Linked DNA regions of Sus scrofa. The protein of the gene in region 2 purifies or fractionates together with the protein of the main gene of each other region. This does not show direct contact. Links are inferred from orthologs where the notes say so. Each region holds a gene or a part of one and is shown on either strand. Other genes may lie near its edges.

The links. Proteins that work in one complex are often made in the same cells at the same time.
Region 1: the proteins of L3MBTL2 (region 2) and LIN54 purify together in Homo sapiens (affinity purification with mass spectrometry; 3 studies listed by BioGRID and IntAct, counting the BioPlex papers as one, with this or other methods). This does not show direct contact. The link is inferred for Sus scrofa from reciprocal best matches to the Homo sapiens genes L3MBTL2 and LIN54.

What each region holds. Positions count from the first base shown.
Region 1 is NC_010450.4:135,393,412-135,400,492, reverse strand, and holds the end of LIN54 (protein lin-54 homolog), read right to left. Parts: intron 6,290-7,081; exon of another isoform or gene 4,511-6,289; coding exon 4,309-4,510; 3' UTR 2,219-4,308; downstream 1-2,218. UniProt on the Homo sapiens protein: Component of the DREAM complex, a multiprotein complex that can both act as a transcription activator or repressor depending on the context. In G0 phase, the complex binds to more than 800 promoters and is required for repression of E2F target genes.
Region 2 is NC_010447.5:7,257,959-7,265,701, forward strand, and holds part of L3MBTL2 (lethal(3)malignant brain tumor-like protein 2), read right to left. Parts: intron 5,386-7,743; coding exon 5,154-5,385; intron 4,788-5,153; coding exon 4,711-4,787; intron 4,533-4,710; coding exon 4,428-4,532; intron 3,780-4,427; coding exon 3,632-3,779; intron 3,273-3,631; coding exon 3,190-3,272; intron 2,975-3,189; coding exon 2,740-2,974; intron 2,267-2,739; coding exon 2,198-2,266; intron 1,005-2,197; exon of another isoform or gene 981-1,004; coding exon 864-980; exon of another isoform or gene 819-863; coding exon of another isoform or gene 792-818; intron 538-791; coding exon 425-537; 3' UTR 1-424. UniProt on the Homo sapiens protein: Putative Polycomb group (PcG) protein. PcG proteins maintain the transcriptionally repressive state of genes, probably via a modification of chromatin, rendering it heritably changed in its expressibility.

The sequences.
Region 1 (7,081 bases), on a different chromosome or scaffold from region 2:
ATCTGTAATTGGGGAGCAAGGACATCTTAATACGGAATCTTCAGTCCATGCGCATGATTATAGTAAAATTTAAGAGCCTCTTTGATTTTTTACATCAGTATTTTTACATTTCACAGAGACCCTGTGTACGTTTTTGTTACATTTCATGTTCCGGGTGCTGCTATGAACTGTGACTTGAGAGGTTGTTTCCAGTGTTCATCGCTGCTACGTGGAAATACACGTCTCCACATGCTAATGCTGCGACACTCACTCATTAGCCCTCGTCCCTTCTGATTGCTGCTTTGAGTTTTCTGTATAGGCAATCATATCACATCATCCACAAATAAATGGTTATATTTATTCACTCCCACTCTATGGCCTTAAAAAACAAGATCTTTGTGTACAGTGACCTCAAACATGACGCTGAAGGAGTGTCTGGTTCCCAGTCTTAGGGGAAGCCTTCCGTCCTCGCCCCTCCCATGATGTCGGCTGGAGCCTCTTTTGCTGAGGATCCTTCTCTTCCCAATTTGCTCAAGTGGGTTTTAGGGGCTTTTGTTTTTTTCTTTTTAGGGCTGCACCTGCAGGAAATGGGAGTTCCCAGCCTAGGGGTCGAATTAGAGTTAAAGCTGCCAGCCTTTAACCGGATCAGAGCAGGGTGTGCGACCTACACCACAGCTCACGCCAGATCCCTACCCACTGAGCGAGGCCAGGGGTCAAACCTGCATCCCCATGGAGACTAGTCAGATTCGTTTCCACTGAGCCACAACAGGAACTCCCAGTGTCTTTTGGTTTTGTTTTAGTCATAAATGGGTGTTGTGCTTTGTAAGATGATTTTTCTGCACTTTTTTGAAAAAAAGAATTTTGAGATATGCTCTCCATAGCATATAATCTAGTATTGTTGGTCTATTCAAAAGGTTCTTTGCTGCAGCTTTTGAAATGATCATGTAATTTTTCTTCTTTTGCACGCTGACACAATGAACTACACTGATTTTTTTTTTTTTTCCTTGAATGCTGGGTCAGACTTTTACTTCTGGAATACACCCAACCTGGTCATGATATATGCTTTTAATATATTGCCAGGTTTCACTTACTAATATAAATTATAGTCTGTACCTTATAATAACAGCTCCCTGAATATACTTTCTTATTGCTTTTGAGTAAACTCAAAATTCCTTAAACACTTTCATAAAACACTTCTAAGACAAAATTTGAAAGACCTTATAACTTACAGTTTATAAAATCACTTGGGGAGTTTCCGTGGTGGCACAGCAGAAATGAATCTGACTAGGAACCATGAGGTTGTGGGTTCAATCCTGGCCTCACTCAGTGGGTTAAGGATCCGGCATTGCCGTGAGCTGTGGTGTAGGTCGCAGACACGGCTTGGATCTGGTGTTGCTGCGGCTGTGGCGTAGGCCGGCAGCTACAGCTCCGATTGGACCCCTAGCCTAGGAACCTCCATATGCCGCAGGTGCGGCTCTAAAAAGACAAAAGACAAAAAAAATCACTTGGATTGTTTACAAAACACTCAAATTTGGTCTATAGATGAGGATAAAATGTGCATTACATGAACCCATCAAGGGAAAAAGTTATTTACATAATAATAAAAAAATAACACAGTAAGGGCTTTTGAGCTGACTGGCTTCCCTCTCCAGAATTCCGATGTAAAACACTGAAGGGATGCGGTATGATCACACGTAGAGCTGGTTTGAGCTGTAGTTACGTAACAAGCATTCATTTTCTAGCTATTTGCGTTCTAAAACAATACAAATAGGAAACTTTCCTAAAGGTGTCTTTATTCACATTTTACATAAGAGGAGAAAATGTCCGCTGTCCGCGTCCAGGAACGGGGACGCGAGAGCAGGAGTCCCTCCCCCAGAGTCGCTGCTCTACTTGGCTCGTTACGTGGGACATGCGGTTTCTGTTCCCGCATGGACCAGAGATCAGACCGCTGCTTTTAGTCCGTGAGAGGAAAGGAAATTCAGAAAGGTGCTCCCCACAAGAACATCAGATATGGAGAGAAAAGAAAGAGTGGACTGACCTTCTGCCCTTGAAAGAAACAGTGGAAACAAGAGAACTTCTCATCTCAAAGCAATTGATGTTAGTGAGAAGTGGGCAAAACGACACGTTTATCTTTTAGTTGTACGCTTTCAATGTCAAATGTACTTGATATCAGACATTTTAAAAAGTTTCTTGCATCTTAATGGTTAAAAGTGATGTTATTAAAGAAAAAATGCAAAACTTTTTTTTTTACAGAATAGTATAAATGTTTATTTTCTGTATGATTTCCTTTGCTGTCCTGTTTTACAATATAGAAAAGTGTATTCTTTGAATAGCTCTAGTAAATATAAATTTAATCTTTCTACTTTGGGATGTAAATAGAGCTAAAAAAATTATATACCCAACCCTCCCCCCAAATAGTCTTTTAAAATTGTTGAATTAATGCGGATATTAATCTTGTTCAGCAATTTGATGCAAATGCCTACATACAAAAAGTTTAGTAAGTACTACACAGGAAGGAAAGGCTTAATACTTTAGATAGATAGCTTCTTGAAAATCAGAAAAACTAGTAGCATTTGATTGCACCTTCAAATTTTTACAAGCAAAACATTTTCAAGCAAGGCTGTCATACATAATCTACAATTGTAATCCAAATTTCACAAACATTTTATGCACACTGTATATAAATACACATCACAAAGGTGCAATTAGAATTAAACACAGAGTATGTACAAAATGAACAAAGTTTAGGTTTAGACCAAAAAGGTATTGTAATCTTTTGAAAAATAACTTGATTAGATATTATTTTATCCTCTTACACTAATTTACATTTATACAAAGTTTAATTAAGTGTACTAGATTGAGGTGCTAAGAATGTCTGCACTATCTACATTTAAAGTTACTGCACTGTCATTTTATAAACCCAGGCTTCAAAGGAAGGTCCTTTTGGATCGCTTCGTTTCTGCTGCCTATATCTTGCATGTTCGTATGAACATATATACACACTTAATACATACAACTATAGATTCCTTGTAGGAAATGTAATAATCATATACTAATAATTACTGGGGATCAAGGTACCTAACAAAATGCCTGAATTCCAACATGGTTTTTTCCCATCATAAAATCCAGAGTCCTATTATAACAGGCTCTTAAATTCATAAAGCTTCTGAATTCTGAACTGCTGAAAATGATTTCGGTTATCTTAGTAATTATATGAGAAACTCATACCATTAGCTCACCAAATCACTGGCTAAAAATAACGCCGTGTTAAGCTTCCCGTAAAAAAGAAATCCCACTACAATTCTGAGAGCTTTGTTAGTTAGGAGGCCCATTTCAGTAAATCAAGTAAGAGTCATAACGTTGGTTTGAACCCTCTTAGTTCAAAAGTCTGTAAAGAGAGCTGTTTCTATAGATGAAAAATCCTCTAAATTCATCTCTTAGACCTTCAGTATTGATTTCTCCATCCAAGCCAAATCTTTACCCGATAAATAGGTAAGGTTCTGTTATCACTACATAATAGGTTTACTTCTATTCATATGCAAGGCTCATTTTAATAGTACCCCGTAACCACTGACAATTTATTATTCTGAATACATACCGCCTCCTTGAAAGAAAATGGAAATATCCCAAGCATTTCTTCGTCACTCCTTATATAGAAACAAACTGTCTGCCTTTGAGAATTATTTACTGTCCCTTAACACTGTATGTTTTTTTTTTAAAACAAACATAACTTTTTTATTTTAAAAGTGTGCCATGGATTACTTCCCCATCGGACCATTCCTAAAGTGACAACAGGGTATTATTCCAGAATCCACCCTAAAAAGTTGATTTTTCCTAAAAAGATAGTGCTTTTCTAAACACAAAAGGTCATGAGAATTTGTCAGTGGAGATAGTCTATCTGCTTATATTGTAGATCTAGCACCAAAGAATGACTGGCTAAATACCAAGGCTTCTTTGGCCTTTTCTCCTGGAACAAAGTCATACAACACCATACATTATAAATTATAGTAATTTATAAATGTTATTTGTCAATAGAAGCAGAAGGACAGAACATCTAGTTCTTAAGAATTCCAAGCCAATTAAAAATCTATATAATACAATAAAGAGAAACTCAATTTAGAAGGGAAATAAGCAGATTTAACTTAGACTTAAAATGTACTAATTTCCTCATTTAAAAAAATTTCTTCTCTTTCAATATTATAATTTCAGGTCTCACAAGGACTGAATTGCCAATACAGTCATTGTTGGACTAGCTTCCAGAAAATCCCGTGTCCCTGCACCTCCAGTGCTCTGCACAGTCCCTCCATCAGTCAGTCCTTTGTGCAGGAGTTAGCAATTCATGGCGCAAGGGTCCCGTTTTGCTTTTCCTGCAGAGTTGATGACGCTCATCAGACATCGTCCGAACTCCTCGAGTATCATCCGTTCGGCTGCTGCCTTTGATTCTCCCTTCTTGTCCGCCTGCTCTGCCTGGGCCAGAAGGCAGTTACACGTGGCTTCCGCCACCTCCTTGGTTACAAATGTAAACGGCAATCTGCAGTGATTTGGGGGAGAGAGGGGGACAGCGGTGAGGAGGCTGTGAAGAGCAGCCAAAGGGGCGGCCGTCTTCCACCTGGAACTCGGCCCACAGGTCCCTGCTCGGCAAGCACAGCGAGCATCGTGTTTGTGTGATGAACACAGCACACCCCAGAGAGCCTTTTAGAAGTCAGACTTGGTCTTATTACTGAACACACACACACACGTATTTTTTAGTCTTTTTAGGGCCAGGGGTTGAATCGGAGCTGTAGCCACTGGCCTACACCACAGCCACAGCAACACCAGATCCTTGGCCCACTGAGCAAGGCCAGGGATCGAACCTGAGTCCTCATGGATGCCAGTCAGATTCGTTTCCACTGAGCCGCGAAGGGAACTCCTGAACATATTTTTAAAATATAACATTTTACACAAAATACATATTACCTAGACGAGGTTACCTGGTTAACTGCAAGATGTAATTCTAATTCTCCACATTAACTGGACAGTTTTTCTGCGGCGAAAGTCCTCCCACCTCATGACCATCATGAGCTCACTGAGCACAGTTCTGTTTCATGTACGGTTGTTTCTCCGACACACATTCCATGAACATGTGCTGAATGAATGAGTAACACTGGGAACTGAAAGCGCCATCTCCTGGACAGCACCTCCCCCAGTCCCATACAGTGTTTGGAAAAAACAAGACACACACCAAAATCTGGCATTATTCCACGAGGACAAGACAAAATGGGGACACCGGATGCTGTTCAATACTTGGCAAGTCATCCATAAAGACCTGAACCACTGCGAATTAAAGCAGAGCAAACCCATCCCGAGGCCTCGCTCTGTGCTGCCAAGTCTCAAAGCCCACAGGGGCCGAACAGGCGACCAGTCTAACTGCCAACGCAACCACCTGTGAGCAGCCACCGGCAGCAGGAAAGTGCGGCGCAGGCTCGATGGGTCTGCAATCGCGGCCCACTCTGACAGAGGGCGGGGCAGGACTTGGGCTGCTGCGCACTTGGATAGAAATCTTTAAGGTACAAAAGCACTTTGAATTAGAAAAAGCTAGTGACACTACAATACTATAGTGCTCATTCATTATATAGTATTTCGAAAACTAGAGGAAAGCAGAAGGAAAGAATTCAAAATTCTTGCTGCTCAAAGACAAAAGCTTGTTAACATGCTGATAGAGCTTTTTATACAGTTTCTAAAAACCTCTTTTGACTACAGTGTATGACTTTGTGTCCTTTCACACTTGGTAACATCATAGCCGCGTTCCACAGGTGAAACTTCTCAGTGCAGCACTTTCTTCTCCACATGGAGATGAGACGAGCTAATCCGAGGCTCGCTGCGAGCAGACGACCAGCAGGGACCCTTCTCACCCCTCACTGCAGTGTCAGGCCATCTCCACTTCACTCAGTCAAGAGACTTGTGCGGAGGATATGCCAGTTATAAGGGTTCTTTTTTGTTTATTTATTTATTTTTGTCTTTTTGTCTTTTCTAGGGCCGCTCTTGCGGCATATGGAGGTGCCCAGGCTAGGGGTCAAATAGGAGCTATAGCCACCGGCCTACACCACAGTCACAGCAACGCCAGATCGGAGCCGCGTCTTTGACCTACACCACAGCTCACGGCAATGCTGGATCCTTAACCCACTGAGCAAGGCCAGGGATCGAACCCACAACCTCATGGTTCCCAGTCGGATTTGTTAACCACTGAGCTACAATGGGAACTCGGAGTTGTAAGAGTTCTTTGGAACTAATATTTGAAATATTTGGTACAAAAGCCTTACTTTAATAAATAGGATCTGATTTCAACTTGGGCATTTTAAATACAATACCATTTGCAAGGCTCATTCCACTTAGTAATTCTTCAAATTAACCTCCAACAAACTCTCTAATACAAATGCAAGTCAGCAAACGGGTGGCCCTGGGCCTGCCACACTCTGCTTGGCTCCTCACAGCCACGTTCTCACTGTGACATGGAGGATAAGATGACAGGCGGTGAGGCCAGAGAGACGGTCAGAGTCACAGATACCACAGGGCACAGGCCAGCGCGGGACTCACGTCCGCCAGACCACACCTCCGCCTCAGCCTCCGAGCGCTGCGGTCTAGGGAAACAAGGAACGGCGATGCCGGTGGGTGACAGGTGCCCCAGTGGGGTGGGCAGGGGCCGGGAGGGCACGGGAAAGGCAAGAGAAGGAAGCAGTGTGCAAAAATAGGAACAATGACACAACCAGTAGGAGGTGGAAAACTGGTTTTCTCTAGGGTTTGTCAAAGCACCTGCCACCTCATCTCAGTACGGAGACATCTAATTAAGTCGGGCAAGCCCAGGGGCTACAGCATGACTGTGCACTTCACCTTGAGAGCTGTGTGCTGAATCTGACAGTGGTCTTCTGTAACTTTCAAATTCCTTTACAAGTAATTAAAGATAGAAAATGCAGGAGTTCCCGTCGTGGCACAGTGGTTAACGAATCTGACTAGGAACCATGAGGTTGCAGGTTCGATCCCTGCCCTTGCTCAGAGGGTTAATTATCCGGTGTTGCTGTGGCTGTGGTGGAGGCCGGCAGCTGCTGTTCTGATTCCACCCCTAGCC
Region 2 (7,743 bases):
CCCCGGAGGCCGGGAAGGCTCTTCCGCTTGCTGAAGAGGCTGCACCACTTGCATCAGTCAGGGGACTGTCTCCCCTGAGCGCTGCTCCAGACCTTTATTTATGACTTGCTCGGGCAGGAGTGTGTGCACGTGTGCCATACCCCCCCCACCACCCAGTGTGTCCCCCACCCCTGCAGTTGAGGGACACGGTGGGTGTGGAGGGGCGGTAGTAAGGAGCTCTGGCTGGAGAGGGAGCCGCTCGCGGCGCATCTGCGCGTCTCGGGCAGCCCCGGCCGCGCAGGCCCGGCCGGAGGAGACCCTGGCTGTTCCCTTGGTGCCTGGCCTCGCGGCACCAGGCCGATTTTACACAAAAAGGCTCAGTCTCCAAAGGAAGGGGGTGGAGGGTGGTGGCAGCGGCGGCGGCCAGGCTGGCAGCGAGGCGGGCTCAGTCGTCTGTCTCCTGCTTGATGTTCTCGATGGGAACAGGCAGCTGGGGACTCGGGGCCTTGTCGGGCGAGGCCATGTCCAGGTGCTCTTCCTTCACGCGCACGGTGATGACTGAGGAGGGAGAGGAGCGCGCCTGACCCCGGGCAGGGCTCAGGGCCTGGCTTCCCACAGACAGGCCCTCGGCACCGGGCGAGGAGAGGCCCTGGCCAGGTGGGCAGGCAGCAGGGGAGGCCCCACCCTGCGGGCCCAGAGGAAAGGCTCCTTTCAGCGTTGGCTGGGTGTTTGGGAAGCCTGGGCCCAGGGGGCTAAGGGCGGCTTTGTGCCCAGCAAACCCCCTTCAGCCTGAGTCTGCTCTCCCGCGCCAGGTGGGGAAGGAGCAGGCCCGCCTCTGAGCCCCAGAGCCGCCGGCCGCCTGGACCCGCGCAGGAGGCTCTTACTCTCATCAGGAACGGGCTCCGACGAGATCTTCTCTGCGGCCTGCGGGTCATCCTCCAGCAGGGGCTTCTTGGACCCCTGTCTGAGGGGCCGGGTCTTGGTTGGTGGTATTCTTTTTCCTTTGAATAAAAACAGAATGTGGAGTTCCTGTCATGGCTCAGTGGTTAACGAATCCAACTAGGAACCATGACGTTGCGGGTTCGATCCCTGGCCTTGCTCAGTGGGTTAAGGATCCGGCGTTGCCGTGAGCTGTGGTGTAGGTCACAGATGCGGCTCGGATCCCACGTTGCTGTGGCTCTGGCGGAGGCCGGCGGCTACAGCTCCAATTCAGCCCCTAGCCTGGGAACCTCCATATGCCGCAGGAGCAGCCCTAGAAGAGGCAAAAATAAATAAATAAATAAAAACAGAATGAAATCCAGGTTGGGGCTGTATCCATGTGAAGTGCAAGGGTGGGTCTCCCCCCAGCGGGCAGGCAGTGCGGAAGGCCCCCACTGGGGAGGGAGAAGGCCCGACCTCTGACCTCACCTCTAGGACTGCCCGGGGCTCAGAGGTTTTCTCCAAGAAAAGATTAATTTCACGCACCCCACCTGTGGTTATTAAGCTGCCCTTTTCTTTTTCTTCTTTTGGCTGCTCTGAGGCATGTGGAAGTTTCTGAGCCAGGGTGGAACCTGTGCTACAGCAGCAACCGGGTCACGGTTGACAATGCCAGATCCTTAGCTTGCTGTGCCACAAGGAAACTCCAAGCTTCCCTTTTCTGATCCTTTTCCCACCTCTGAAGTGTGACTTTGCCAGCCCTTGGTTTTGAAGGGCACAGGGTCCTGCCACTTGATCAACTCCACACCCTCGCAGGGTCTTAATTCTGCCTGGGGACCAGAACTGCTTCCTCTCTGCATGGTGCCACGGCAGGGGCCACCTCTCCAGCCGAGAACAGCCCTGCCTGTGGAGATGTCCCCGGAGCTTGGAGGCTGCCCTTGCTCCCACCCGCTGGGGGTCACCAGGGAACACAACAGCCTTGGGGAGCAGCTTCCAGTCCTCTGGTACCTTTTAATTTCAAACCCAGCGGCACACATCGCCTCAGAGGCCACGGCTCCCCTTCTCTCTCAAATACAACCTCTTGTCCCTTTTCCTGGCCATCCTGACCACTGCCAAAGACCAAAGACCCCCTACTTATGATCTGGGTCCCTGAACACCCGGGGTGACTGACGGGCCCATTGGGCAAAAGGCGGGAGCATGAACCAGGCTACCTAAGAGGCGACCCGCCACCTCAGCTCCCCAGGACACAGGCTCAGCTGCTGCCAGGCCCCCGCCAGCCAGGCAGCTTTAGAGCCTCACTTACTTTTCTTCCCGAACTGTTTCTTTCTCTTCTTTGTGGCCTCTTTGGCCTTCAGAGGTGTGGTGGGCTCTGCTGTTGACAGGCAGGGACAAGAGGTGAGGCTCAGACACAGGCTGCAAGCACATCCCGAGACCCCTGCCCGCCCCTCGCTGGCCCCCCTTACGCAGGGACACCCCCAGAAGGAAAGCCAGAGCTGGGCAGTGAGAACAGGGAGGGGGCTGCGGGGAGGGACCGGAGCACAGCCGTCCCTTCTTCCCACCCCATGGGCAGGGCTCCCGGAGGGACCTGGGGGTTTACCTGGGTGCACAGGGGCACGAGCATATGACAGAGTGGGCAAGGTCAAGGAAGGAGCTCTGCAGGCCAGAGGGAGAGGGAGACAGAGAAGTCAGGGGGAGGGAGGCAGGGGCCACTCTTCTCGGAAGTGGTCCAGGAGCGTCTCCATCTCATGCCAGAGAACGAGGGGGACACAGGGCAGGGGGAGTGATTGGCAGGAAGGAAAAGGAAGAGCAAAGTCAAGAGCCGCTTAGGGCCGTGAGAGCCCAGACCTGTGGCCACGGGCGGCTGGAGCTGGTAGCCGGTGAGCTCACACCAGCCGACGGGGTAGATGTCCGGGGACTCGCAGTCCACCCACTGGTCGTACTCGCTGTCCCAGCCGTCGAAGTGGATGCTGAGGAGCCGATGCACCACCCGCTTCACGGTGGCCACACAGATGAGCCGGGGCTCCATCAGGTCCACGGCCTCCAGCTTCATGCCCACCTTGAAGCCGTGGTTGGGGCAGTCCTGGGGGAGGGAGCAGGGCAGGTTCCTCTGACCAGCGATCCCACCGCACTCTGTGCCCACACCACCCCCTGGGAAAGGGACCGGCTGAACTGCTCGGCTCGGGGCTGGCGTCGGAGTTTGCGGCCGGTCTCAGCAGCACAGACTCAAGGAAAGGAGTGGGAACAGGTAGGGCCGTCCCAAGGCCACCCCGGGCCCCTGCCTCCTGGTCCCCTCACCATGTTGAAGAGTCTCGATGGCGCCGCTTTCGCCTTGGTCGTCTCCAAGTAGGTCTCCCAGCTGAAAGTGTGAGCCTCGTACCCTGGAGCAGTGGAAAGTCCGGCTGAGGGCCGAAGGGGAGCCGGAGAGAGTTCCGCCAAGCCCCCCATGGCCAAGGGCGCCCACAGCTCGGTCAGGATCCAGCCCGGAGTCTCTGCAGGAGCCTTCTCCCTCCTCCCCTGGCTGGTACCTGCTAGGACCTGGTTCTGTCCTACAGGTGGTTGACTGCTCACCGAGCCACGTACCAGCCATGGGGCGAGCCAGCCCAGACCAAGGGCTGGTGGTGACCTCGGGTAGCTCTGTCACCTCTCCAGTCCTCAGGCAGCTCAAGCTCCAAGGTCTAGCAGGGTCTAGCAAGGCCAGGAATCAGGGCCTCCCCCTGCCCCTTCCGGCTCGTCTTACCTTTCGGGGGTGTAAGCTCGATGTCGTTCTTCTGGCAGAAGGTGGCTGGGAAGATGGCGTGGGAAGAGGCGTGGTAGCAGAACCAGTCCGAGCCGTCTGTGGAGGGCCCCCCGTCCACACAGATCATCAGGTAGCCGTCCAGGAGCACCTAGTGGGCGGTGGGGAGGGGGCGGGGCAGACAGAACACGGCCTCCTGAGCTGCACCCCCGGCCCAGGGCAATGGGGCCACGAGGCGGGTGGATCCACCTGGAGCCAGTTCTCAGCCGTCCCTGAGCCACTTCAGAGCACTGAGCACTCGTGCAGCCCGTAATCGTGGGATCTCTGGGCTTCCTCACTAGACAGCAAATGCTGTGCCAGCAGGAACGCCATCTGCCCTTTGGTCACTGGGTTCTCGGGGTGAGCACATGGGCCCAGCCTGGAGACGTGCTGGATGGACAATCGGCATGTCCCCCAGTTTGCTCCCCAGGCAGCGGTGGCAAGGTCTGCAGCAAAGCCAGCCAGCTGCGGCTTTTGGCCAGGCCAGCACTCAAAAGAGATGGCAGGTCTTGGCAGGAAGGCCCCCAGCGAGGGGACAGAGCCAGGCTCAGGCCAGGGCTTCAATCAGCACCTGTCCAGCCTGGCTCTGACCGCAACTTGAGAGCAGATGCTGAGTGAGGAGCTAAGGCTCCACTCAGAAAAAGCAGGTGCCAAAGAGCAGCCAGTACCAGGAAGACGGGATGGACACTGCGTGCCGAGTTCTGCCACCCCCGTGCCCGCAGGAAGCCAGGCGGGAGGCGGGGGCCTGCCCCAAGCTCACCTTGCAGATGGTTGCCACACAGATGTTGCCCAAATTCAGGGGGTCAATGGCCTCTAGCTTCATCCCCTCCTCAAACCAACCGCCTTCCGTGTAGACGGCTCGAACCTAAAAGGAACGGGGCAGCTGGGGAAACTCCGGGCTGGCCCAGGCGATGGGGGGAAGCAGGCCATGGTGTGCCATCGGCCTGGAAGGAAGCGAGGGGGCAGGAACATGCCAGGGAGGAGGCTGCAGGCCCGGGGTGGACGTGCAGCCAAGGGGAACGCGCCTGAGGGCTGGGCCTCACCTTCTTGAACAGGTAAGGAACAGCGTCACAGTAGATCTTCCGGAAGGTGGGGTGGTGGGCCATGTCGCTGCGCCTCTCTTTTAGGGAGACGACAGATGGGGAAGAGAGAAGTGAAGCTGCTACCAGGGCCACCTCCACGCCTCCCCCAGAAGTGTGGGGCCGCCTTGCCCAGGCTCTAATCCGTATCTTCGCGCCACCCCAGCACTAGGAGGCGGAAGGCCCAGGGCCTCTCTCTGGAGGGGGATTCAGCCCTTAAGACCCGGACTCTTCTCTTCCCACTTGACGTGGGAGAGGATGGGGCCTGTAGCCTCTGGTTTCAATCAGTTTTTATGCTTCAAGCCAAGTGGCCTTGGTCAAGTCCCTCGACCTCTTGGGACCCCTGGTCAAGCACGGCCACCCGCAAGGCACACAGTCACCCCACCGCTCAGCCAGACCCACGTTACCTGACAGCTTGATGCCGTGCCCGACACGCCGTGACCAACCCACAGGGTGGATCAGGGGGCTCCACATGTGGCACCAGAAGTCATCGTCGCTGTCGCCATCCTCGTAGAGGAGCCGTAGGCGACCCCCGATGACCGTGTCCACCACAGCCATGCGGGTCCGCGACACCTGGGACTTGTCCACCACCTCGAGCCGCATGCCCTGCCGGAAGGGGTACTTCATGCTCTCCACCATCTGCAACGACAGCACCAGCCTGCCGTGGCCACGCGGCCTCTCCCTGCTCCGTCTCTTCAAAGAAGCCAGAGGACGGGGCGGGTGCGGCGGAGGCGCCCCAAAGCCCAGGTCAGGAGGCAGGCAGGTGAGCCCTCCTGTCCCCAGGTTCAGCCCTGGCTCCAAGTCCCTAGGGTGACACTGATGACGTGATGGTCACGACGTGTGCGGGTAAGTCACGGTGACGGGACTTACAGTCACTTTCCAGACAAAGGAAACAGGGACCCAGGGAGGCGGGACTTCCTCAGAGTCGCACAGGCTCGCGGGTAGCAGAGCTGGGCTCCAAGGGCTCCAGCCTCGTGCTCTTTCGGGGACCTGCGCTCTGGTCACACGGGTACCCCACGTCCCCTCTACCTTCCGGCCCCCAGCTGATGGCGCACAGGCCTCGGGGTTAGAGAACCGAGCGCCCTTTGCCTCCGTACATCTAATTTCAGCTCCGGCCCGCTGAGCAGTGGCTCTGAACAGCTTCCACAGTGCCTCAGTCAGGATGCCACGTCTCTGACACTGCAAAAGACAGATGCCCACGAGCTGCTGCCCTGGGGGGACCCCTGGGGAGGAGCTGGAGATTCTGGAGGCTTTGGTGCTGTCCTGCCGGGGGTAGGGGATGGGTGACTAAGCTTTGTGGGGCTTTTCCAGCACCAGGGCGCTGCAGGCTCAGGTGTGGGGACTGAGCCGTGCTTTTCCAAATCCCCCCAGAAGGTCACAAAGCAGCCACCAGGACAGGGATCCTTCAGCCCTCAGCTCAAGGGCGGGAATACACCTGACCCATTTAGCAGATGGAGACGCAGGGTGAGGCCCGGGCTGGGGTCCCGGGTCCACCCCCACCTGGCCTTTTCTGACACGCTCCTTCCCTCTGTGCCTTCTCAGGGTGACCCTGACCCGACCCGACAACACCCTGGTTTAAGGCCACACGCTACGCTAGAACTCGAGGTCTGCAAAGGCAAAGGATAGGGTTAGTGTTTTAGCTCTGAGCGCAGAACGAGGCACAGAGGGCGTGCTCAGCTGACTTTTTTCTTGGCTGTGCCTACAGCATATGGACGTTCCTGGGGCAGAGATCGAACCCACACCACAGCAGTGGGCCGAGCCACCGCAGTACCACCACCAGATCCTTCACCTGCCGCACCACAAGAGAACACAAGAGAACACCCTGATGTTTTTTTTCTGACTGAACATACAAACACATGGATGATGGGCCTTCATTCAAACACTTGACGAAGTCCTTACCTACTGCAGGCATCATAGGGACCCCGCCCTTCTAATCTTTCCATCCCCACTTCTTCAAAGGCAGCTGCTTCTGCAGCCTCCAGCGTGCACTGCAGGGTCTGGGTACGTGACCCTGGGTACGTGCATGCTTGCTGACCGACTCAGAGCCCTGCTCTGCCACCCAGAATCAAGCTCCTTTTAATTTAAGCTGAGGTGAGGCCACCTGGATACTCCTAGCGGCCTGTGTCACCCACAGTCACCTGCCTCATCCTCAAACAAGGGCCAGCTGAGGATAGGAGACGTGCATCCTCAGCTGCCAAACTTGTCACCTGTGCAAAGAACTACAGGAAACAGAGGAGAAAAAGCTTACAGTTCTGTTGGAAAGAATATGAAAAGAATATTAAAACATAGAGGTAAATGACAAGTGAGTACTACCCACTAGGTTCAAATAAGAGAAAAACAGGTTTTTTTGGTTTTGTTGCTGTGGGCTGCCCTCGCAGCATACAGAAGTTCCTGGGCCACAGCGGTGCCCTGAGCCATGGCAGTGACAACACTGCATCCTTAACCACTAGGCCACCAGGGAAGTCCTAAAGTCATTCTTTGAGGTGCTTGGAACCGTTCCTCACTGAAGGCCAGTGAAGGCCCACAGTTCTCACCAGCGTCCGGGGCCTTGGGTGTGATGGCCCCCCACCAGCTTCTAGGCCGCCCACAAAGCAGAATTCAAAGCTATATTCTCCACGGAGCCCTCGGCACCTGCTCCTCCTCAGGCCACAAGACCAGTTCAATCACATGTCACAGTGGCGCCTGCCCTGCATTCCCCTGCTTGCTGCTGTGACACTTACCCAGGGTGACATGGGAACAACACATGTGAGCATCGGGGTCAGATGTGGCCCAGGCACCTACGTGAGCGAGCCGCACAACAGCAGGCCTGGCACACTGGCGGGGGGACCCTGCCTTCACTGTGTGGCCTTGGGAGCCCTCTGAATTTTCACCATGTGTGATTTTTTTTGTTAAGGAACTAAATAATTTTTAAAAATTGGAAATGCCACACAGATGAGTGAAGCACATCCCTGGTTCAGAATCAAGGCTATTTTGTAATTAGTCATGGGCATGACTTCA